4 linked regions of the Drosophila melanogaster genome follow. The protein of the gene in region 2 interacts with the protein of the main gene of each other region in a pairwise test. Each region holds a gene or a part of one and is shown on either strand. Other genes may lie near its edges. The genes, in order: CG11349, CG13627, Cdc5 and mahe.

Region 1 (4,303 bases), on a different chromosome or scaffold from region 2:
TGTTTTATTTCTATTTTGATTTCAGTTGATTGGATTTGCATGAGAATCGAATCTAAATGATTGCATAAATTTATGTCGACAATTCATTTTGCCTCTCTCACTATAAAAAAAATGTCTTTGTGCCTCTATTTCTATATAGCTCTGAACTAGTTTCCTTTCCGCGTACCCTAATGGACAATATATACACCTTTTCCATCAAAGGCAATCGCAGATATGGCCAGAACATAAATGCCCTAATCTATTTGCACGTGTATATTTATGTTAATGTATGTAATTTAAAGGCAAACAAAAAAATCAAATATACATAGTTGGTAAATATCTGGATATTTTTATGTGCAATATAGATATTTGTAGTCTGGTGTAAAGCTTAATCAAAAGCTCAATTTATAAAGCTCAGCTTGAAAACCCGTGTCGATTTCTCAACAAACTTTAAAGCTACCTTGAGCGGAAACGGAAGTAGCCGCCATAGTTTTCGCCTGAAAGTATGCTTTAAATAAGTAATCAAGGTTTGTTTGGTATGCTCTTGTAGCAAATGCTGATAAGTATGATTTAATTTATGTTATAATATGTTCTGTTTTAAAATACTTAAAACTCGAATGACTGTTTGGGCTTCTGGTAGTGATAGCCATCCTCACGATAGTCAGTGTCGTACTCCGAAGCAGATGTTTTAAGATCCACATTGTTTCGCTTTGAACTGCGCCTATGAGATCGCAGTTGTTTGGGAGCAACCACATAAGAGGACTGCTTGTTACTAGCCGCAAAGCCCAGAAATCCTAGCTGCCCATCATCGTCCGCATCATCGTCATCGGGTATAAGGACTGAACGCTGATTAGGATTAACCGATACCAAAGCCCGCTGGTGTCCATGATGAGGATCGCTGTAGAAGTTGCCGTCTATGATGTTGGTGTCCTGTTGATTTCCCAGCGCATTTGTGGGTCCCTGGAGATGGGGTTGTCCGAAAACGTTTCCATTCAGCACATTGAGACCCTGGTAGTTGGATCGATTGCGCTGTCGTCGGTTGTTGAGGCGTGGTACTTGTCCCGCTGCCAATTGGGCTCCAATGGAGGGGTCGGACTGTCGCTGATTGGGATCAAAAGCTCCTGGTCCAGCTGCATTGGGTCGCTGGTTAGGCACGCCTTGTCCAGCTCCAAGTTGGGCACCTGTCGAAGGATCAAATGCTCCCTGTGCACTTGGTCTCTGGTTAAAGCCCTGACCTGCACCCAATTGAGCACCCGTAGAAGGATCAAATGCTCCCTGTCCACTTGGTCTTTGGTTAGAAACACCCTCACCTGCGCCCAATTGAGCACCTGTAGAAGGATCAAATGCTCCCTGTCCACTTGGTCTTTGGTTAGAAACACCCTGACCTGCGCCCAATTGAGCACCCACGGAGGGGTCAAAAGGGCCACCTAGCTGAAGGTTGGGATCATATTGGTTTTGCGCAGGTCTTTGAGGTCTTTGACCAGCTCCAAAACCAGTGTTAAATGGTCCTCCGGCAGCTGCTTGGGCACCAAAGGAAGGGTCGAATCCTTGGCTCCCTCCAAGTTGAGCTCCTCCCGCAAGCTGACCTCCTCCGGCAGCCTGTTGATTTCCAGCTCCAGCATTACCTATGGCTCCCAGCTGAGCGCCCAGCGAAGGATCAACAAAAAAGTTGAGTCGGTTGCCATATCCACCTCCATAGCCACCTGGACGTGGAGGTCGCTGACCGTTACCCAGAACAGCCAATTGTCCGCCGGCAACAGGTTGATTGGCCGGAAGATTAGCACCAGTGGGAGCCAAAGCACTGGCTGGTAGCTGAGCACCTATGGGATCAGAGGGTCCACAGCCAGGTGGTACGTTTCCAGGTCCAACAAACTGGCAGTTGGGTCGAAATCCTGGTGCCTGGGCTCCAGTCGGTGCTTGAGCCCCAGCAGGATCCTGTGCTCCTGCTGCACGATCTGGGCGAGTAAGGGAATTCAATTCCGAATCCTGGGACTGCACGTTGATCTGCGTGTGGGTGTGGAACACCGAGTTGGGGGCACTGGCGTATAGAATTCGACTAGGACGACGGCGGCGATAAACCACTTGGGTAGCAGCTGGGGTGAACAAGTCCTGATTGTAATCCGTACGGACATGGGGCTTGCTATGCTTGTAGTGAATGTGCTGGGTCTTTACTTCTGGCTTCTTGTCATAGTGATGGTAGTGATCCACTCGCTGCTTTTTGGGCTCTTCATGTTGATGCTCCTTGTAGTATTTGGGCTCCTCGTGCTCCTCTACCTTGTGGTAAACCACCTTTTCACTGGTGTGCTTCTCCTTCTTGTAAAAAGGTTGCTCCACCTCCTTTTCCTCGTGGGGAGGTAGGTAATGGGACTCCTCATCGTCATCTTCGTGATCCCTGGAGTGATGATGCCGCTGGTGCTTGTGGTGTTTCACATGGGAAACGTCCGCCAGACATGCGATTGCCATAAGGCATAGAACCAGGATCACGAGGACATTCTAAAATAAAAATGGATTGGTGAAATGCGGAACCTAGAACCTATCGTTGATCCGTTACCATTGCTAAAGTGCCAGTGACTGTAAGCAGCTGTAGATGCAACTTATATACTCTCTTCGGGATCTTTTTTGTTGCATCCCCACATCGAGCCCCCAAAAAAGACCACAGTTGAAAGCGAAACCTGTTGCCGAGCGTGAGAAATCGATTCCGCGCTTTATGTGACCCATTTGTTCTTATTGAATAGCCGCCAATTTAAATTCTATTGAATATTCTGAAGCACAACGAAAGTGTCCCGTAAATTTGTCAGATCAAAGCGTTTAAATTTATTGGCCCAAGTGCGCTGCACACTTATGCGATAACGCATGGGTTCTTTGAACTTCGTTTCCAGGTGTGAATTTGGCCTAGTAATACAATTGAAGCTTCAAACTAATTTATCATTAACAACTGATTGTTAGTTATGGATAAGAAAAACTGCACTCCAGTACTAACTAACAATTATTAATAAAATTTAATTTTGCGATTTTTTTTTTCTTTTCTAGCAAGAATTTTAGCACTTTTGAAATGTTGTTTTAGGTTTTATAGTTTTTTTTTTTGCGCGCTTCTTTTGCTAAAACTATACACCATATCATTCTTGTTTAATTATCAAATTATCATATTATCTTTATTAGTGTTTTAATGCTCAAATAAAACTATGTTTTTATAAATTTAATATTCGAGTTTTTTATTGTCGCATTTTATCGTATCATCATCATCGTTTAAGCGCGGTGCTTGAACACACGGCGACGGACGGTCTTGTACTTGTATCCCTGCTGGCTGGCGGCGGGCTGGCTATAATCGTATCCGGAGCGGGCGGCAGAGGGGGCGGAAGCTGCGGCCTCGAACACCGGTCCGGAGGACTCGAAAGCAGGAGCTGGAGCAGAGGCGAAGGACTGCACGGGGGCGGGGGCGGGAGCTGGAGCAGGAGCAAAGGACTGAACGGGAGCTGGAGCTGAGGCGGCGGCATGGTGGTGGACATGGGGAGCGGGAGGCACGTATGTGCGGGCTGGTGCGGGTGCAGAGGCGGCCTGCTGGAAAACGGGAGCAGGAGCAGCTACTGGAGCTGGGGCAGGGGCAAACGACTGCACTGGGGCAGAGGCAGCTGGAGCTGGGGGCACGTAGGTCCTCACTGGAGCCGGAGCAGAGGCAGCTTGCTGGAAAACAGGAGCCGGGGCAGAGGCGGCTACCTGGCGGGGAGCATTGTAGTTGTAGCCAGATTCGGCGGCCACACAGCCAACCACGGCCAAGGTCAAGATAAAGAATTTCTACAGGGAAAAATCGAAATAGAATAATATGCCAACTAATATAATCCGCAATACAGATGGGAGATCCTTACCATTTTAGATGATCTGTTTGCTTTAGGAGCAACGAACCGAATAATATCTTAGACCGGCGACTCCTGTACTTTTATACAAGTCGGAGAATCTGCGGATCCAAACGGAAGTGCTGAGTATCATAAATCAACGAAACGTTTTTCTTCGCGTCGAAAAATTTGTTTAATTGGGCAAACAGATACCTCGACCACGACGCCATATGGGGCTTGTTTTTATCAGTTAGGTACGCCATGGAGTTTGGATTTAAAACTCTCATTTTTTTGCTGTCATATTAAATATAAATATTCATAAGAATACACGTATCACAGCTTAATTTTTTTGCCAAAACAATTTTATCGCAAACCTGATAGTTTGGTTTCGTCTTGAAGAAGAGCTTTTTTAATTCACCCAAGCTTTTGCTAAGACTAAACCCGATATTGGGTTAATAGAAACAGTAGCAGAGAGCTATTTTTAAATCGATCCA
Region 2 (7,081 bases):
TTTTATTCCCAAGTCCAGTTTGGATGGTTTCCATTGTGCCGTTCACTTCTCCAGAGGAGCATAGTTGAGCAGTTTTTCGATAAGATCCACGTGGCCCAGGAGCATGCGACGGCAGCAGTACCTCTTTAGACCCAAAGCATCCAGGGCATCTCTGGGATTGGATTGTAAGATATAATATATATATATTATATGATGAAATGCGGCGTGGAAAGGAGACTTTCCCGCGTGACTTACCCTTCGGTGTATTCCGCTTGCAGGAGACCCAAATACGACTCCCACTTGTTGCCAATGACCTTGCCGCAGGTGAAACAACGGATTGGAATAATCATTTTGTAGATCAGGCTCTAATTCTTAGTTAAATCACGAAAAATGTGCAATCACAACAATGTTTTTGGTAAAATGTGTTTTTACTTGTCATGAGTGTGACCAGAGTGCAGTTGTATTTTTATCTCACCAGCATTACAATGTATCGATAACACAAAAACTTATATCCATTCAAAAAGAACGCTAACGAATATTTGAATAAATTAATGGTTATTTTTATTAACTACCGACTGCTCGCTACATGAATGCGTTTTTTACAAATGAGTGTGTAAATAAATATTTTTGAACAGCGTCGAAGACTAAAAGTGCGTTAACTAATTACTGCTGGCCGTGAGATGCTCGCCGGCCACTTCGACGGAGGTGGATACCTCGAACAAATCTTTGGCTGACTCCTCGCTGTCGCCGTCGTTCCGACCCGCACTGGACACATCCTCCACCGTGCCCTTTTTCACATCATCCGATCTCTTTTGCAGTCGCTATACAAGGAAAGTCTCAAATGTTAGCATACGGAAGAATTTCTTGTCTAATTTTACCTACCGATTCGGCGGCCTCCTCGTCGGGCACAAAGATGCGAAGTGGCGTGTTGGCGCCAAGTTGCTGCTGCACCAATCGCTGGTGCTCCTCGAATGCACTTGCTGCTGGATCCTGAGCCACCTGCTGCTGCTGCTGCTGTTGCAGCTGCTGCGGCGGATGGTGCTGCACTGGTTGCTGCAACTGCTGTTGCTGCTGCTGCAATTGCAAGAGCTGCAACTGATGCTGCTGGTGTTGCTGCTGCAAGTGTTGCTCCTGTGCCTGTGCCTGCAGTTCCTCGAACTGCTGCTGTTGCTGCTGCTGGTACTGCGCCTGAGCCCTCAGCTCCTCCAGATGCAGCTGATGCTGCTGCTGTTGCTCCTGGGCCTGCGCCTTAAGCTCCTCCAGATGCAACTGCTGCTGCTTTTGCAGCTCAATGGCGGCTTGCTCTGTTTCCAGTTGCTGTCGACGTGCCTCCTCCTCTGCGTAGGCCTGCAGCAATTGGGAAGAGTCGTGGGCATGGCCATAGAAGTTGGACACCACGAAGCCACCTTCCGGAACGGAGGCAGTGACCGCTGACGCCACATTGGGCAGGTGGAAGGAGGCCGTCTCGTAGGCACCCTCATTGGGATCACCCAGTGCCGGAGCGGCAATAAGAGCAGCATATTGTGGCGCCGAATCAAGTACAGGATGGATGTTGTGATGTGGATCCTTGGCTGCCTGCAGTATCTGTCCATTGCTGGCTACCTCCTGGGTGAGATCGGCGTTCACGTAACCCGTTTCCACCACCGGTTCCGAGCTGGGCTTGAAAAGCTGCTGCTTGTGGGCCGAGTACAGTTGGTTGGACTGCGTCACCAGGTAGGTGGGATTATAGATGGGAATGTGGGCAGCCGGAATGGCGGCGATAAAGGACTGGGAGTGAACCGCCGGCTGGGCATACTGAATGGGATAGATCTCTGGCGCCGTTTGGGCTGCCGTCTGGGCTCCCACAATCTGAACCAATGGCTGGGCTGGCAGATGGTTACTCTGGACGTCGGCGGGCAGCGGTTTGTTGTTGCTGGGCGTATTGAAAGATTCGGTGGCGGGGCGAATCTTGGTGGTGGGCAGCGAGGGATCCGGATCTGGGGCAAAGAGTTTCTGCGAACCCGAAATGGGATCACGAATGGTTTGGTCATTGGTCTCGTCCTCATGCACACTGTACTTCGGTGGCAAATATGTCTGGGGACGGGCTGAGGAGGATGGTGTTTGGATCTGGGTCTGGGAAGGAGGCTTGTACAGGTAGGAGGTGTCAAGATGACCCTCCTCCACGTCCAGGTGATTGTCGGCCAGGTTCGGTGCGGGTACCGTGTAAATGGGTGCAAAGTGCTCGGTGTTGAAGTTGTTGTGCGTGTCCAGCTGTGGGGGATCAGCATGAATGGAGTTATGTTATATGTTCAGGGGAGTGGGGGGCATGTGCAGTATAAGGATATCTTAAGAGCAGGACATTTTCAATGGACTCCACTTACCGGCAGATTCTGCAGCTCGCTGTAGCTCACAGCAGTGGGCTTCTCGTACTTAAAGGGCTTGTCGTATCCGAATGTGGGTTTCGTCTTGGGCTTCACATTGTTCAGTTTGATCTTCAGTGGTTTCCTTAGAGATCCAGCTGGTTTCAGGTACACGGGCGACGGACCACTCAGCTTCATGGGACGAGGTGGTCCGCGTAGGTGCTGATGCTGGTACTGATGTGGCACATGGATCAGCGGATGCGAGTGTAGATGGGCATGTGAATGGGCGTGCGACAGGACATGTGCAGGATGCACGGAATGCGGATGGGCCAGATGGGCGGCATGGCTGTGCGCTCCATGTCCAGGACGACCCTTCAGTACCAAGGGCACCGGTTGATCGCTGCGTATTTGGACGACCAGCGTGCGCTGCTTTCCAGGCGCTCCAGCGGATCCAGGACCTCCAGCTCCAATGGCGGGACGACTCAGCTGCTTGGAGCTCTTCGGTGGCCAGTTGGTGAAAACCAGTGGACGCTGCTCGCAGTTAGCCAGCGCCAGGAGCAGTGCGAACAGCAGAAATGGCTGGCGAGGATGGGATGGGACAATGTCAAAGACCATTAAATCAAAAACATAATTACTCGTACATACAGACATCGAACAAAACGCCGAAAGAAATAAAAACTTTCTAAGCCCGGCAAAGGCGAAGAAGAAAAAAAGGGGCGGTGAGGAAGGAGGAGGGTCTTGTAATCGCTGGACAGCAACAAAACTGTAATGGCCTTAATTTGAACAAATTGGCGGTTTTCTAAAATTTTATCACGTCGCCTGCCATTGGCTACTTAACCAAAGCTGCTTAAGCAAACGAGCCAAACAAAGTAGCTTCGCATTTATAAATATACATACATATATATTTATACGGGTATGCCATAATACTTTGCCCATTTTCCCCGCTTCGATGGCTGATTAAACTTTCTGTCCACAATGCCATAGAATGAAAGTGAAAAGTCCGTCATCGAAATGTCTTCGTTCTATAAATTTTACTGTCGCATTGTTTACAATTCGGCGGGTATAATGCATCACTGACTCATTTGGTGACACTTTCATTGAAATTGGCTTTAGAAACTTACAGCCTACCTTATACGTTATATACGAGTATTTTGGATTTTTCATGCATTTTATATAGGTTAAAGGGAATGGCTCTATTAGTTTAGGTATAACACAATAACGAAGAAAGAAATACATATCATGCATCTAATAAATTTATTAAGGCGTAAAATGTCAGATTTTTATAGAAACATATATAGGAACCATTAAAATGAAATGCATGTTATTCCTTGAAAAGAATGAGTATGTGCCTCTTCAGCGCGGCTGGCATGGGTCTCTTTAGTCTCGTCGATGGAAGGGGAAGTGGGTAATTTGAGGCGGCCACTGGACATTGAAATTTCACCTGGGCAGCGCACCAGCAGAGCCACTGGAGCCACCGGAGCGGCGGCAATGACAATGGCAATACGGTGTGCCGTTAGCCAGACGTCAATCAAGAGGTGAAATGCCTAGGCGAGTCCAATACGTATAGTTATTGATTACGTGCTGCGTTTGCTTAAACGGATTGCCGATTGCAACTGAAACTGACTGCAGCGGCGGTGATCGGGGTAATTGCCACAAAATTGGTGGCTTATTGTTTATGGAGTGGTTAGTTAGTAAGTTAGTTAGTTTGTCGCCATTGCAACATGCATCATAATCATATGCAAATACCAGGGGCGGCCTGCTGGTGAATGAACTGCTGCCAGGAGACGGGTGCCCGATGCCAAACACTGAAAAGTCTGGCAGGGAATGGCCCACGGCGACGGCGGATAACCCGTTCAACGAAAGTCCAAATGGAATTCGCATAATTTCGGGTTTCCTTTTGGGCTTGGCCGGCAGTGCCATTGAACCTGACAAAGGATTTTTGCCAACGGCCTAGGCGGAACTATTGATCAGCGGGCTGTCGCCACAGCGTCGACCATAAACAACGGTGTGGTTAACCCAAATTGCAACTCGAAATGCAACTTTTATTTTAGCGGCAAGCATTTTATTTTCAAGCCCGCTGCACATTGAGGCAGCCGCCTGTGCCTCACAGTTTGCAGCTTGCAACTCACAGTGTGCGATGCAATTGGTGCACGTAAAGCCATCCATTGTCTGGATCTTGGCGAAACTTGGCGCATCAAGTGCTCCCATTGCAAATGAAAGTGCTCGCTTTGCCGGCCACCTTGCAATTTGACAAATATTCCGACGACTTCAATTCAATTGAAGAAGCTACAGCTTCATTGTGCAGCGATTGCAATTTGCTGGCTTTGCTGGCGAAGGTGAAGGTGATACCAAATTTGAATGCCAATCTCAGTCTGAAGTCGTTGATCGCCGATGAGAAGAAGAAATGCCATTGAATTTGCAATAGAAATTAAAGCCAATCCATTATTGTGTTATGCTGTGCGCAGTGAGAGACTTTTTAATAACCGCTAATTGTGGCCAACAAACTCACAATACCCGCGTGAATCACTTACCCTCATCTTCTTTCGGATTTGCTAGAGATTTTCGTTGTTTTATTGTCGGGTAGCTGGCTGATGGATCTGGTAGACTGTAGAAAGCTCTGGGGCAAATGTCGAGCAACTTTTGGCTTCTTCTGCTACTCCAGCAGCAAATAGATGAAGATCAAAATGGCAATTAGGTATATAATCACGTCAATTAACTTCATGTCAACGAGCGCCGCGGCGCTTTCTTCGATCTTAAACTGCACGCACAAAAGATTTGTAAAGAGTTTCGAATATAAATTCGAGGAGCAGCGACGTCCGCACCTGTTCAAGTCGCGAAGACAACTGACTGTTAGTTGGTCGCTGGTGGCGGACAAAAACCATGTGCCCATCCGCTGGAGTTCCACTGGAATGGAGTGACGACTCGCATTGGAAGTGCGCACTGAAGAAAGTGGTCGGATTTTCTTGACTCTGGCGCCGAATGAAATACAAAAAAAAAAAAATAAAATAAATAAAAAGCCAACAAATAAAACTAGTTTGCAGTGGATAAAGCGCAGCACGCGACCAGCAGCTACATGAATTGCCAGCAAGTGGCCGATTAATCGCAACGAAAGTGTTTTCCCATTGACTGTTCTTGGCCGGCGAAAGAAAGGAGCGAAAGAGACGGCGCCAAACAAAAGACTTAAGCAGCGAACTTGTTGTCGTCGCAAGTCAGCACTCGCTCTTTACCTTAAAAAGCAATGCGGACCAGGCGCACATGATCAAGAGATGGCCCCCCAATGCCGCCGTCTGTCACCTGTTGGCCCCACTTTTTAAGTCTTTTTTTTTGCTGGGGCAGCAAACAGGAGCAGAGCCACCGATTGAAATTACGAAATGCGGCAGGCACAGTGGGGAAAATAGCAAACATTTTAAAGCGGAACCAAACAATATTTTGGGAATAATAAGATATTATTATAACATTTTCATACTTTTTAAGATGTTGCCAATATTTTTCCAATAATTTTAAACTCATATTTAACTGCATTAAATATCTGGCTAAACTCGTCGAAGACTCAAAGGAATGCGTGAAAGCTTTTTCGAATTAGTTTTTGTACGGAAGTCAGCTCAATTGGGGGCTAAGGGTTTCGTAGAAAAGCTTGAGCTGTATTTTAAGCGATATTTGATGGTAATGTAACTTAATTCAGATGTGTCCCAAAAACGAATGGATGCAATTTCCATAACCAATGGATTCCGTATGATAGGCTTCACATTTCGGATGTACATATACCAAAGGCCCTTCGATGATAATGAGACATGCTTATGAAACGCTCCCCAATAATTGGTCGCATTTTATGCAAGGCGCGACATCCAATTTCTAAACGCAATTGGTCATTGGAATTTTATAACGCCCGGCCAGCCATTTTTTGGGTCAGTATTTGGCGGCCCAAAGTTTTGGGACATAAATCAAAATTTCACTTTCATAAAGCTCTCAGTTTGGTGGTAATTTCTTTGCTATTTTTTTCCGTATTTATATTTTATTTTGAAATATTATTTTTAACAAGGTTTTTTAAACATTAACAACATAATATTATTATTATACCTTTTATTTCATACATTTATCATTTCTTTTGGTTTTTTCTTTCGGTTGCGTTTTAGACAAATGTTTAAAATATGCATTTTTAGCTCTTCAATTTGTTATTTAAAATGTTGTTTATTTTTTGTTGTTTTTGCCTTTGCAGGACCATTTTAAACTAATTTGTCATTTTATGCTTTCTGCTCTGATTTCGGTTTAGTTTACTTTAATTTCAATGTAAATTAATGAATTTTTTTTATCGCTTTTTACGTTTTATTTATGTCTACTTTTACGTTTTCCGTTGTGTAAATATACCTCATATAAATAGCGAGTAAAAACTAAAAAAATGTAACTACATTAATATGATTTGCATTGTTTTTTTTTTTTTTGGGTTTGCATTATTTATACAATTTATTTAGCACACATTGCCGGATGTGTATGTGTGCGTGTGCGGGTATCATGTGAAAGTGCTGCGAAATTATAAAAAATATTTTTTCGTTTTTCTTTTTTTGCTTGGTTTTTTAGTTGCAATTTGTTATGTTAATTATGATATCTTAATATCGTTATTCCTTAAAAAAATGAACATTTCCGCCTTAAACCTGTAAAATTATCATATTAGTTTCGGTTTTCGTTTTGGTTTTTATCTGCAAACGTTGATTCTATACAAAAAATCTAACTACAGTAAAATGCTGCATAGCTTCACATTTACGAGT
Region 3 (5,866 bases), on a different chromosome or scaffold from region 2:
CGCACTCCAATGGGTCAGTACTACTGCCAGCCCTGCAACATGATGATGAACCATGAGAGCACCTTGCAACAGCACTTTATTGGCAAGAAGCACCTGAAGAGGGTAAAAAACCTTTCCCAAACTGAGAAGAACGTGTAAAGAATTTATTTGATATACCCTAAGCCTAAGCCATGACTTCCCGTTAGCAGTAAAGCTTCCTTAATAATAATGACATTCGAGTTTGGGAAACAGCTATTTTGTTTAAGAAAGGCATTATAAAAACCGTAATTTGTTATCATACCCATTACTCATAGAGGGGTATATTAAACTCGTTAAAAGGAATACAAATTTCTATCGATATGCCAAGATAATTTTGAAATTTCTCTCTCAAACTCACTCCCACTATCTGGTATCTGATAGTCGAGAAATTCGACTATAACATTCTTTCTTGTTTAAAAAAATTGTCTAAATTTAGGGATTCAAAAGTGGTTTACCGATGATAAGCTTTCTTGAGCCCCACTTAATATGATCACAAGGTTTAATTTCTTTTCTGCATTTATTTTTAAAATTATTCGCCGTTGTTATTTCGTAGATAAATCGGTAGTGGTCAACTTTTTTTTATTAACTGTCAGGCCAAAAACAAATGGAATTTAAAATAGTTCAAATCAAATTCGAATACGAAAATAAGTGTTGTATTTTGAAAAAGAAAAAAAATTCGTAATTTCACACCATGGCCGAGGAGATAGAGGTTGAGGAGACGGAGGACTTCCACGACATGGACTTCAATGACGAAGAGCCATCCTGTAGTGGAGGAGCTGTCCAGGCCAGGACGGAGCGCTTTGTGGTGAAGAAATGGGTTGCGCACGCCATGTGGGGATGGGACGTAGCAGTGGACAACTGTGCCATCTGCCGTAACCACATCATGAACCTGTGCATCGAGTGCCAGGCGGACCCGAATGCAAACCAAGACGAGTGCACTGTGGCTTGGGGCGAGTGCAACCACGCATTCCATTACCACTGCATCGCGCGCTGGTTGAAAACGCGCCTGGTCTGTCCGCTGGACAACAAGGAGTGGGTCTACCAGAAGTACGGCCGCTAGCGAGGAATATGGATCGGGATATTAGGTGGTGATAGCTGTTTGCTGGCATGTAATTACTGTAATTAAATAAGAACGGACTTGGGTTCCAAAAGAAGGTTTACGCTTCCTGGTCGGGCAGGAGTTGCTGGGCCGTGGGCCTGACGCCAGTTATATGTTCGATTTGAGAGTAAAGCGAATCGCGCTCCTCCACTAAGCTAGCGTACTTTTGCTGCAGCTCCTTCTCGCGGTCCATCTGGCGACGCACGTCCTCTTGCAGCGATTCCAGGCGTCGCGGCACAGCGATGGCCTCCTGTTCGCCCAAAAAGCGGAATGTCGAGAGTGAGACAGAGTTCTGCTCAATCTGGCCGTACGTGTCCTGAAGCTGCTTAATCAGCACCTGGGCGCGCGCCTGGTAGCCGCCGGTGAGAATCTTCAGCTTCTTCTCGATCTTGCCGCAGCGCTTGGCTTCCTTGGCCATGTGGCGGCGATTTGTCTCCAGCCGTTTCTCGGCAGACTCTAATCGATCCTTCTTGCTGGCCAAATTGGCGCGTGTGTAGCGATGTTGGGAGGGTAGGTAAAGAACCTGGCCGAGGCACTCCTGCCACACCTGGGCATAAACGTCTAGGGGCAGTTCGCCATGCGCCATGCGCTCCTTCACCACCTCCATTTCCTCGGTGAGCATTTGCTTGGCCTTCGCCAACTCTTGCTGCGAGATGTCCTCGTAGGGATTGGCCTTAAAGTAGCTTTGTAGCTGTTCCAACTTGTGCTGCGATTGACCAGGCACGGGATCCTTGACCGAGTCGTACACTGCCAAGAAAAAGGACGTTAGTTACTTGGGTTAAAATGGAAACGTTGGGTTTACTCACGCTGCATGGTGATCATTTCGTGTTTAATCAGCTCTTCGGCCTGCTGCTGTTCCGTAAGGTTCTGTTTCTCGGACTGCGGTCGCAGAATCTTGGTGTTCACTTCAGTTGGTCGCGGGAGACTACGCTGAATAACCTGGGAGCGCTTCTCTAGCTCTCGCTTTCGGCGCGCCTCTTGTTCAGCCAATAACCTGGCGTCGACATCCGCCTGATCCTCGACGGCGGGTTCTGAGTTGGTCTCAATGCGTTCGCTTTCCTCCTGCTCAGGCACCACGATCTCATAGTCATTCCGTGGAGCGGGCAGCGTGGAGAGACCGTCACGCAGTGTAGACTTTAGTTGCTTTTGGTAGTTTTTGTAATGTGCTGGGGTCTCGGTGACGCCCATACTCTCCTCAGGATTGATGCTTAGCTTGTCCCTCACGTAGGCAGGTGTATTGACGACACCCGTAGCCCCTCCTGCCCCCTTTACGGGAACTAGGGCTCCGGAGGAGGGCGTTTGGAATCCGCCGGGAGTGGCTGCTCCGCCCTCGCGTTGGGTTCTAAACGGCGTGGCAATCACTGTGTTAGGCGTGGCGATGGAGGCCGCCTTGGGCAGCACGCCGGAGAAGTCTGACTCGTGCAGCGGTGTGTTCAGGCCACCTTTGAGTGGCGTCTCTGTGTGGGTGAGGGCCATCATGTTTTGGGCCTCCTGCATGATGCGATCGGTGTACGGAGCCGGAGTACGTGGAGTGGCTGCTACCTGGGGTGTAATGGAGTAGTCGGCTAGCAAAGCATCCGTCGTCTCTATGCCGCTCTCACCGGCAATTTCCTTTGCCATCTCACTGGCGCGTCCCAGCTTGACTACCTGCTGTAGTTCCATGTCGGAAATCTGCGGCGTAGGCAGGACTAGTTTGGAGCGCTTCCGCTCGGGCTCCATGTTTTGCAGCATTGCGGTGGGCACTTCATTCTCTTTGCGCTGCTTCAGCTTCTGCTTGTCCCGCTTGCGTTCGCGTTCCTCCTTCTCTGAGCGGAGTTCTCCATCTAGGTCCTGCTGCCGCATCTTGTTGAAGTCGGGTTCATTTTTCTGCAAGTGTTCCTCGGAAGTGTCGTAGAATCCGTGGGCAGGTCGCTTTTCGAAGGGAATCTCGGCGTTGTAGTCTATTCCCTTGATCCGCTTGCGATTTCCGCTGCCAATTCCGGCGGCACGAAGTTCGCGCCGCTTTTGGAGAGTGGCCAGGCGGCGGGCTTCCTCCAGTTGCTTTTCGCGAGCCTTGCGCTTGGCTTTCTTGCCTTGCGTGTTGGCCAAGCGGGCGCGTGCCTCGGACAGCATTTCCAGCTCGTCCTCGTCCATGTCCTTGGGATCGGGCCGCGCCGGCTTGGTCTCTGGATTGGGGTCAATCTCTCCGGGCTTCAACTTGCGAGGATCATCCATCGTGTCCTCGCCATCCTCTTTGCGTTGGGCTTGGTCTCTGTACGGCAGGAAAGGGATCAGAAATTTTCTACTTAGTATGTTGTGCGTTGGACTCACAGCAAGTACTCATAGCGCTCCAGGCACTGGGCTGCCGTCCGTCCGATGATCGGGGCTATGGTGCGCCACTGCGTCGGCATCAGCTTGGCCAAGTGGAGCAGTTTCTCGTCCTCCTCACGGGACCACTCGGTCTTCTTGATGCTGGGATCCAGCCACTCGTACCACCTGGCCTTGCACTGCTTGGCGGACTTTCTGTGCAGGAGGGAGGCAATTCGACTCCACTGGTTCTTGCCATATTTCATAACCGCAGCTTTGAGGATTTCATCCTGGGAAAATGAAATCGGTAGCCAATGTAAGCCATGTGTGGTTAACCGATAGACTATTGGGATAATTACCTCCGTGTTGCGCCACACGCCGCCCTTGATCATTATTCGCGGCATTCTGGGGCCTTATGTTGCTTTCTGTCGCGTATACAATGGATTTTCACAATTTTCACTCGAGTCCACGAAACTCCGCTCTTTTTTTTGCAGTAGCCGCTAGCGATGGTTAGTCTTCGATAACAGCGATATCTCCAGCACGTTTTGGTATATTTATAGAACCTCTAGTTAAACTATTCTAGCTTAGTACAAAAAAATTTCATTATATTGTATTTAGTCTTCGTATACCGTTTGATTTAACTTCGGTCTTAATATTGGTAACTTAAATTATTCAATTTAATAAAGGGCCTATACACACGACATAACATAACGCGACAGTGTGACCGAATATAGTTGTGCAAACACCGCTGCCACACTGTGTACAGCAACAGCTGTTCGCTATCAGTTATTTTGTGATGAAAAGTTTTTTTTCTGCGTAATGCCAATTTTTGTGATGCGGAATTAAGAGGCGTGTGCCCAGGAAGCGGAAAACCGGCAACCGGCAACCGGAATCCGGCACCGGGAATCAACTGGACCAAGGAAGGCACCCACGATGAGCGATGCGACCTATCCGGGATATTACGGCGGCAACCAGGTGAGCAACCAGCGAGTACCTCTGGCCAGAAAAACACGCCGTGTGTCTTCCAGCTGCTCCCGTTGTCGCATCCGCATCCTACACATCCGCACCAAGACCTGTCGCTTTCCACGCCGGTTCACTCCTTGGAGCAGGACTCCAACTTCGGGGGATTCTTTGACGAAGAGCTGGTCATCGGATCGGGATCCGGATCTGCCTCCGCGTCTGCTGCAAACACCACCCCTTCTGGAACTACTTTGTGGCTGGCCGATGGCGGGAATCGATCACCTACTGAGGTGGCGGTGGAGTCCCAGCCCAATCAGGGCATTCCCTTTGTCCAGATCCACACCACCGACTTGCAGCAACCAGAGAAAAGCTACCGCAATGCCTTCCGCAGGCGTACAGCGGAAATTAAGTCGGAGGAACTAATCAAGTCGGAACTTGCGGAAGCGGCAGCCAAGGATCGCCTGAATGCCACGCCAACGCCACCAACTCGAAATTCCAGCTGCGCCAGCGTGGAGGGCAAGGCAATCATTCAGGAGGGTCCGCCTCTTATCCTGCGCTGTCCTAATTGTCCATTCTTAAGCCTCTGCCAGATGCGTCTTCAGCAACACCTTAGTCAGGGCAACTGCTATATGGAGCAGCACAGGAAACAGTGTCCAGGTGAGGCATAGTGCGCCTTCAATATGAGTGCTCTGCTGGAATGCTTCATCATATTTGCATTCACTTTTCACGTGTTTTTCGACAGGCTGCTCAAACATTTTCTACACCAGCGATGCGCTCAGCTTGCACCTCAGCTTGGACCATCAAATGGAGGACAGTGAGACACTTGCGCTTATGGGCAGAAAAGTCACTGAAGCACAAACTAAAAAGCAGACTCAGATGTCGCAGAGCCAAAATCGACCCAAGAGCCGCATCTTTATAAAAAGCGTAGATTGCCTAAGGGAGCCACTCCCGGATTTCCCGCCCTTAATGCCGGATAGCGGGTCCGCCGCTAACATTCTTGATCTGCTGGAAGGTGTGGCTGTAGGTGCATCGCCGACCGAACAGACAATGCCAACAGCACCTGCTGCGAATTTACCAGCTCCGCCGCCAAAGCCCATCCAGAAGATCTCCATCAAGAGCGTGGACGTGCTCAGGGAGACCGCTTTGCTGCCGTTCGACTTCCAGCTGCAGAACCATTCGGTCAATACGGACAATAGTCTCCCTGAAGTTCCTGATGTTGTCGGGGAGCCGGAGAAGCCGCGCCAGCCGAAGATTTATATCCGCAATGTAGACATCCTCAAGGAACCGATGGTTTTGCCATCTGCTCTGCCCGGTCTGGGATTCAATAGCACCATGCCGTCGGCAGCAGAGCCAGGACAAAGTGGCCTGGTTGTAGGAGGAGCAGATGGTGATGTCTTCCAGTCGGAGACACTACTAACGCCCACGTGTCAGCTTCCAGGATTCGAGCCCAGCCTCGCCCCGCTCGCACAGATGTGTTCCGAGGCATTTCCCTTTGATTCTGTG
Region 4 (4,652 bases), on a different chromosome or scaffold from region 2:
CGTACTGCAGATCCTCGACATCGAGGCCGCGCGAAGCCACATCGGTGGCAATCAGAATGTTGGACTTGCCGTTACGGAAATCCTTTAGCACTGAATCACGCTCATTCTGGGTCTTGTCGCCGTGAATTGAGGTGGCGTTGTAACCCTCGGCTCGAATGATCTGCAAGATGTCCTCCACCTGGATAAGGGCAAGAAAACGGTTGATAATTAGTGGGGTGCTTCTAATTAATATCACATAAACAATATATTCTTGACGGGTCATTTCGGATTTTTGCAAGTAAAATGCAACTATAAAAAACAAAGAATATGTTGATAAACCTTCGAAGTAAAACGAAAAGAGAACAAATACAATTTAAAATGGTAAATCGAAAGAATATTTCGAATTCTTTAAGCCATTTATCGAATTAGAACTCACCTTGATCTTGGTCTCCACAAAGACGATAATTTTGTTCCCATTGTTTCCCGAATTCTTGATGGGAGAAATCTCATTGAGCAAGCATACTAAGCGCTGCGGCTTCTCTATTTCTGTACAGATCTCGACAATCTGGCGAATGTTGTGGTTAGCCGATAGGTTCATCGAACCAATGTTGATTTGGATATAATCGTTTAAAAAGTCTCCGGCTAGGGCCTGCACCTCCTTTGGCCAGGTTGCGGACCACATGACCACCTGACGGTCGGGACGAATCTGTTCAATGATCTTACGGATCTGCGGCTCGAAACCCATGTCCAGCATGCGGTCGGCTTCGTCCAGCACCAGATAAGTGCATCTCTGCAAGTTAGTGTTGCGATTCTCAAGGAAATCAATCAGACGTCCTGGTGTGGCGATGATCACCTCGACGCCGCGGTCAAGATCGCGTGCCTGCGGCACCTTCGATGAGCCGCCAAAGATGCAAGTGTGACGAATCTCTGGCTTGCACAGATGTCCATAGTCTCGCACGACAGATTGGATCTGCTGGGCCAGCTCCCGGGTGGGGGCCAACACTAGAGCAATGGGTCCTTCGCCGCGAATTATTGGCGGCTGATTGCCAATGTGCACGATGGCAGGCAGCATGTATGCCAGCGTCTTGCCTGAACCGGTCTGGGCAATGCCCACCAAATCGCGGCCACTTAAGGCAATGGGCCAACCCTGCGATTGGATAGCAGTGGGCTTGGTGAATCCCTGGCGCTTCATCTCTTCAATGACGTGAGCGGGCAGCGAGCTCTCCTCGAAACTGACCACCGGGTGTGGTAGTTCATTGCCAGACACGGTGATTTCCAGTTCGCGCCGGATCTCGGCCACCTGCTGCTCTGATTTGGCCAGTGTATTCGGATGAATGTTGTAGAAATCTTTGAGGAAGGGCTCGAGGTTCTCCCACTTGGGTTTCACTAAATTTCGGCCGGGATTTTTGGCCTTTTCACGTTGGATCTCGGCGCGCTCCTCTTTGGAAAGCATGCCTAAGGCGGCAGCATTGTAGTTATTGCTTTGGTAGCCACCAGCAACTCCGGCGCCGTTGTTCGGCTTCTGATAACGCTGTGCGTAGGTTGGATTTTTGCCACGCTGTCCTCCATATCCGCCAGATCCTCCGGATCCGCCACCGGCGCCTCCTCCAAGTCCATTACCGGCGAATGCAACACCGTTTTGCTGGCGATACGGATTGCCGCCACCAGAACCGGCGGCTCCCATTCCCAGACCATTCTGGATGCCATAGGTCATCACGCCATAGGGCTGACCAAAGTGCATGCTTCCAGCCGCAGTGGCTGCTCCATTGATGCCAGCTCCCCCGGCGGCACCGCCGAAATTGCCGCGCGGATAGTATTGACGCTCGTGGCGTGGGGCCCCGTTGCCGCTACCGCCAGCGCCTGCTGCGGCACCATTGCCATAGTAACCGCCGCCAGTGTGCTGCTGAACGCCCCCAGCGTTGGGTGCATATGCTCCAGCGAACATCGTGTGCTGAATCCTGTCGAGAAATGAACAAAAGTTCAGCGAAATCGCATGGAGATACCTCGCACACACCACCACAAAGACTTTGCACTTTTGTAACTGTCAAGAGCCTCTCTCTCTCTCTCAGAGTAAAAATAAAAAGAGAAACGAAACGCGTTTGACTTTTTGGGCAGGGGCTTTATGGCATGAGGGAGGGGGTCGGACGAAGTGGGGGACTTAGTTTCGAATGGTGAAGAGCGGGGCAGTTCTTTAACCCACCCACTAGCCACCACCGAAAAAAATCAATACAGCATCGCCAAATGCACACGAGACGCAAAGAGGTAAAATAATAGCGGGAGAGCTAAACCAGGCGCGAGAGAGACAAGTAGAGTGCGCCGCAAAGGGAAAGAAGAGCGAGCATGCTCTCATTTAGTTAGAAAAACACTTTTAAAAAGTGCACCGCGTTTTCACGCCACACACACACAAGTAGAGTGCGCCGCATAGGTAAAGAAGCGCGAGCACGCTCTCATTTAGTTAGAAAAACACTTTTAAAAAGTGCACCGCTTTTTCACGCCACACACACACACGCACTCACCTTTTTTCTGTTGCGACAACTGCTGCCTATGTGTGAAAATTTGGATGAGCCTTGTGCGGGGAGCTTTAAATTAATGTAATTTATGCGCCGCAATTTGACATTTGCCCCTCAGGCAACCGGAATTTTGTGTCTTGAATGTGGGTTTTTCTTCGGTTGTCAAAGTCTGCGATTTTTCGATCCGTTTCCTTCACGTTCTCTTTCGAGGCCCTGTTCCGTTCGATTCGATATTCTTCACTCTCTCGCTCGGCTCTCTTCGTCACGCTCACAGGCGTCTTCTTCTCGCGAACTTCTCTTTTTGCTTCGCACAACTTTTGTCGAGAGCTAATGGTTTTGCAATTATTCCTTCGCCACGGGAAAGTAACCGTAATGCTAACTAAAGGTGTACTTGGTTAAACACTAGGAGCCAGTTCGCTAAATCTAATTCTTGTATTTTAGATTTTTATAACAAAAAAAAACGCGCTCAGCAGAAAGTTGCATGTGAACTGTAAAGCTGGAACAAAAGTCAATGGTGATGGGATACGTTCGATGTATTTTGGCATCGATAGTTACCTGCAAAACTATCGATAAATATTGTTTAACCATTATTGCACTTAATTTACCGCTAAAATTTAAAACCAACAAATACTAAAATTAAAAAACATTTAGCGAGTTACCAAAATAAATTGATATATAAAAAATACAAGAATGATATCTAGATAAAAATAAATTAAGCACGTAAAAAAAGTTTTGTGATACCAATTCTTAAAAGGCTACACATATGTACATATATATAAAATATACAAATATAAGTGGGTGTTATATTGCAATTTACATAAATTTGGAATTATTCCTTTCCCCCCTCCACATTTAAACAAATTGTTGCTTTTTTTTTAATTCTTTAATTTACTTATCAAATGGAAGGCAAACACTTTTTACGACCGAAAGTGAAAACAATCTAGCTAAGCCCACAATTCGGCTACAAATTAATTGAATGTCTTAAACAAGTGCATTTAGGTGATGAAATCTCCAACGGCACATATATTGAAAGGCGGATAGCCTTATTGCATAGGCCGGAAAACAGTAGCATCTGTACGTACAGGTATACGCTATTTACACGATTTTATTCCCCACTGATATCACAAACATCATCATCATGTGGAAATCGAAGGGACTTCAGGCGGGACTTCAGAAGGGACTTAGTTGGCGGCCAGTCGCACAAGCAGCTTCCGCCGATCCTCATCGATGGTGGTCAGGAAATTCTGGACGCGTTCGCTGTAGAAGTCAGTCGCCTTGGCCAGCTGGCAGCTCTGCATCCTCTCCGCTCGCCGAAAGTCGTCCAGCTGCCAGCGATCACGCTGGTAGGCCAGAATGCTGGCCAGGAAATGCCAGAAAGTGATCTGCGGCCACAGGACGTTGCTGAAGTACAACACGGATGTGCTTAACTGAAATGGTAAAAACAGTCGTTTAATATTTAAGCTTTTCCACTTTATCAAAGACCGCAAAACTGTCAAGATCTCAATTTTTAAATGCATTTTATAAAAATGATGCAATCGCAGAGCGAAATTCAACGAATGAACATTGGGCACAGGTAACTACTTAATCACTAATCAAACTAAATAAGTGGGAAATCTGCCAAAGGGGGTGACTAAAAACAACTGTTCCTGGAAGAGATCCTTCTACACACCTGCCACATCATGAAGTCGCTTAGCCTAGTCTCGCCGGAGGTGCGGAACACCAGATCCGGTGGCGGCGAGTGTCGCGTGTAGAGGCATTCTTCCAGCAACCGCTCACTGATGTCCTCGCCCGCCAAATCCTGGCTGCCATGCCGCAGTATCGTTTCCACCGCCTGCGTAATCTCATCCCGCGACGTGTACGCAAAGGCGACGTTCAGGAAGAGCTTGTCATTGCGCTCCGTGCTAAGCATAGCCGAAGCCACTAGTTTCTGCAAGTCGTGTGGCAGTAGCTCGATGTTACCAATCACCCGAATGCGGATGCCATGTTCGTCCAGTCGAGCAGTCTCCTCCAGCAGGCGGGCAAACTTCTCTCTGGCCAAATTGAACAGACCCTCCACCTCCTCGTTGGAACGCTTGAAGTTCTCGATGCTGAAGGCAAAGGTGGTCACCTCGCGGACGCCAACGTCCAGGCACCAGCGCAGGCAGTCCGCAAGCTTCTCGAATC

What was found.
Region 1: the proteins of CG13627 (region 2) and CG11349 interact in a two-hybrid assay, tested with the Drosophila melanogaster proteins (one large-scale study listed by BioGRID).
Region 3: the proteins of CG13627 (region 2) and Cdc5 interact in a two-hybrid assay, tested with the Drosophila melanogaster proteins (one large-scale study listed by BioGRID).
Region 4: the proteins of CG13627 (region 2) and mahe interact in a two-hybrid assay, tested with the Drosophila melanogaster proteins (one large-scale study listed by BioGRID).

The regions. Positions count from the first base shown.
Region 1 is NT_037436.4:4,471,307-4,475,609, reverse strand, and holds CG11349 (uncharacterized protein), read right to left. Parts: upstream 2,543-4,303; 5' UTR 2,534-2,542; coding exon 2,531-2,533; intron 2,473-2,530; coding exon 586-2,472; 3' UTR 515-585; downstream 1-514. Other genes in the region: CG32248 (uncharacterized protein), read right to left, coding at 3,226-3,771, 3,843-3,845.
Region 2 is NT_033777.3:24,710,866-24,717,946, reverse strand, and holds CG13627 (uncharacterized protein), read right to left. Parts: upstream 5,168-7,081; 5' UTR 5,041-5,167; coding exon of another isoform or gene 4,972-5,040; 5' UTR 4,856-4,971; coding exon 4,850-4,855; intron 3,164-4,849; exon of another isoform or gene 2,970-3,163; coding exon of another isoform or gene 2,964-2,969; intron 2,898-2,963; coding exon 2,340-2,897; intron 2,230-2,339; coding exon 862-2,229; intron 801-861; coding exon 639-800; 3' UTR 517-638; downstream 1-516. Other genes in the region: Polr2L (RNA polymerase II, I and III subunit L), read right to left, coding at 43-151, 235-329; CG46316 (uncharacterized protein), read right to left, coding at 4,972-5,040.
Region 3 is NT_037436.4:357,322-363,187, forward strand, and holds Cdc5 (cell division cycle 5), read right to left. Parts: upstream 4,063-5,866; 5' UTR 3,808-4,062; coding exon 3,763-3,807; intron 3,694-3,762; coding exon 3,428-3,693; intron 3,369-3,427; coding exon 1,924-3,368; intron 1,865-1,923; coding exon 1,176-1,864; 3' UTR 1,079-1,175; coding exon of another isoform or gene 710-1,078; 3' UTR 530-709; downstream 1-529. Other genes in the region: CG1231 (uncharacterized protein), read left to right, coding at 1-138; Roc1b (regulator of cullins 1b), read left to right, coding at 710-1,078; CG1233 (uncharacterized protein), read left to right, coding at 4,337-4,378, 4,432-5,020, 5,106-5,866.
Region 4 is NC_004354.4:7,928,379-7,933,030, forward strand, and holds the start of mahe (maheshvara), read right to left. Parts: upstream 3,005-4,652; 5' UTR 2,496-3,004; intron 1,938-2,495; 5' UTR 1,925-1,937; coding exon 416-1,924; intron 179-415; coding exon 1-178. Other genes in the region: Dhdds (dehydrodolichyl diphosphate synthase subunit), read right to left, coding at 3,671-3,916, 4,159-4,652.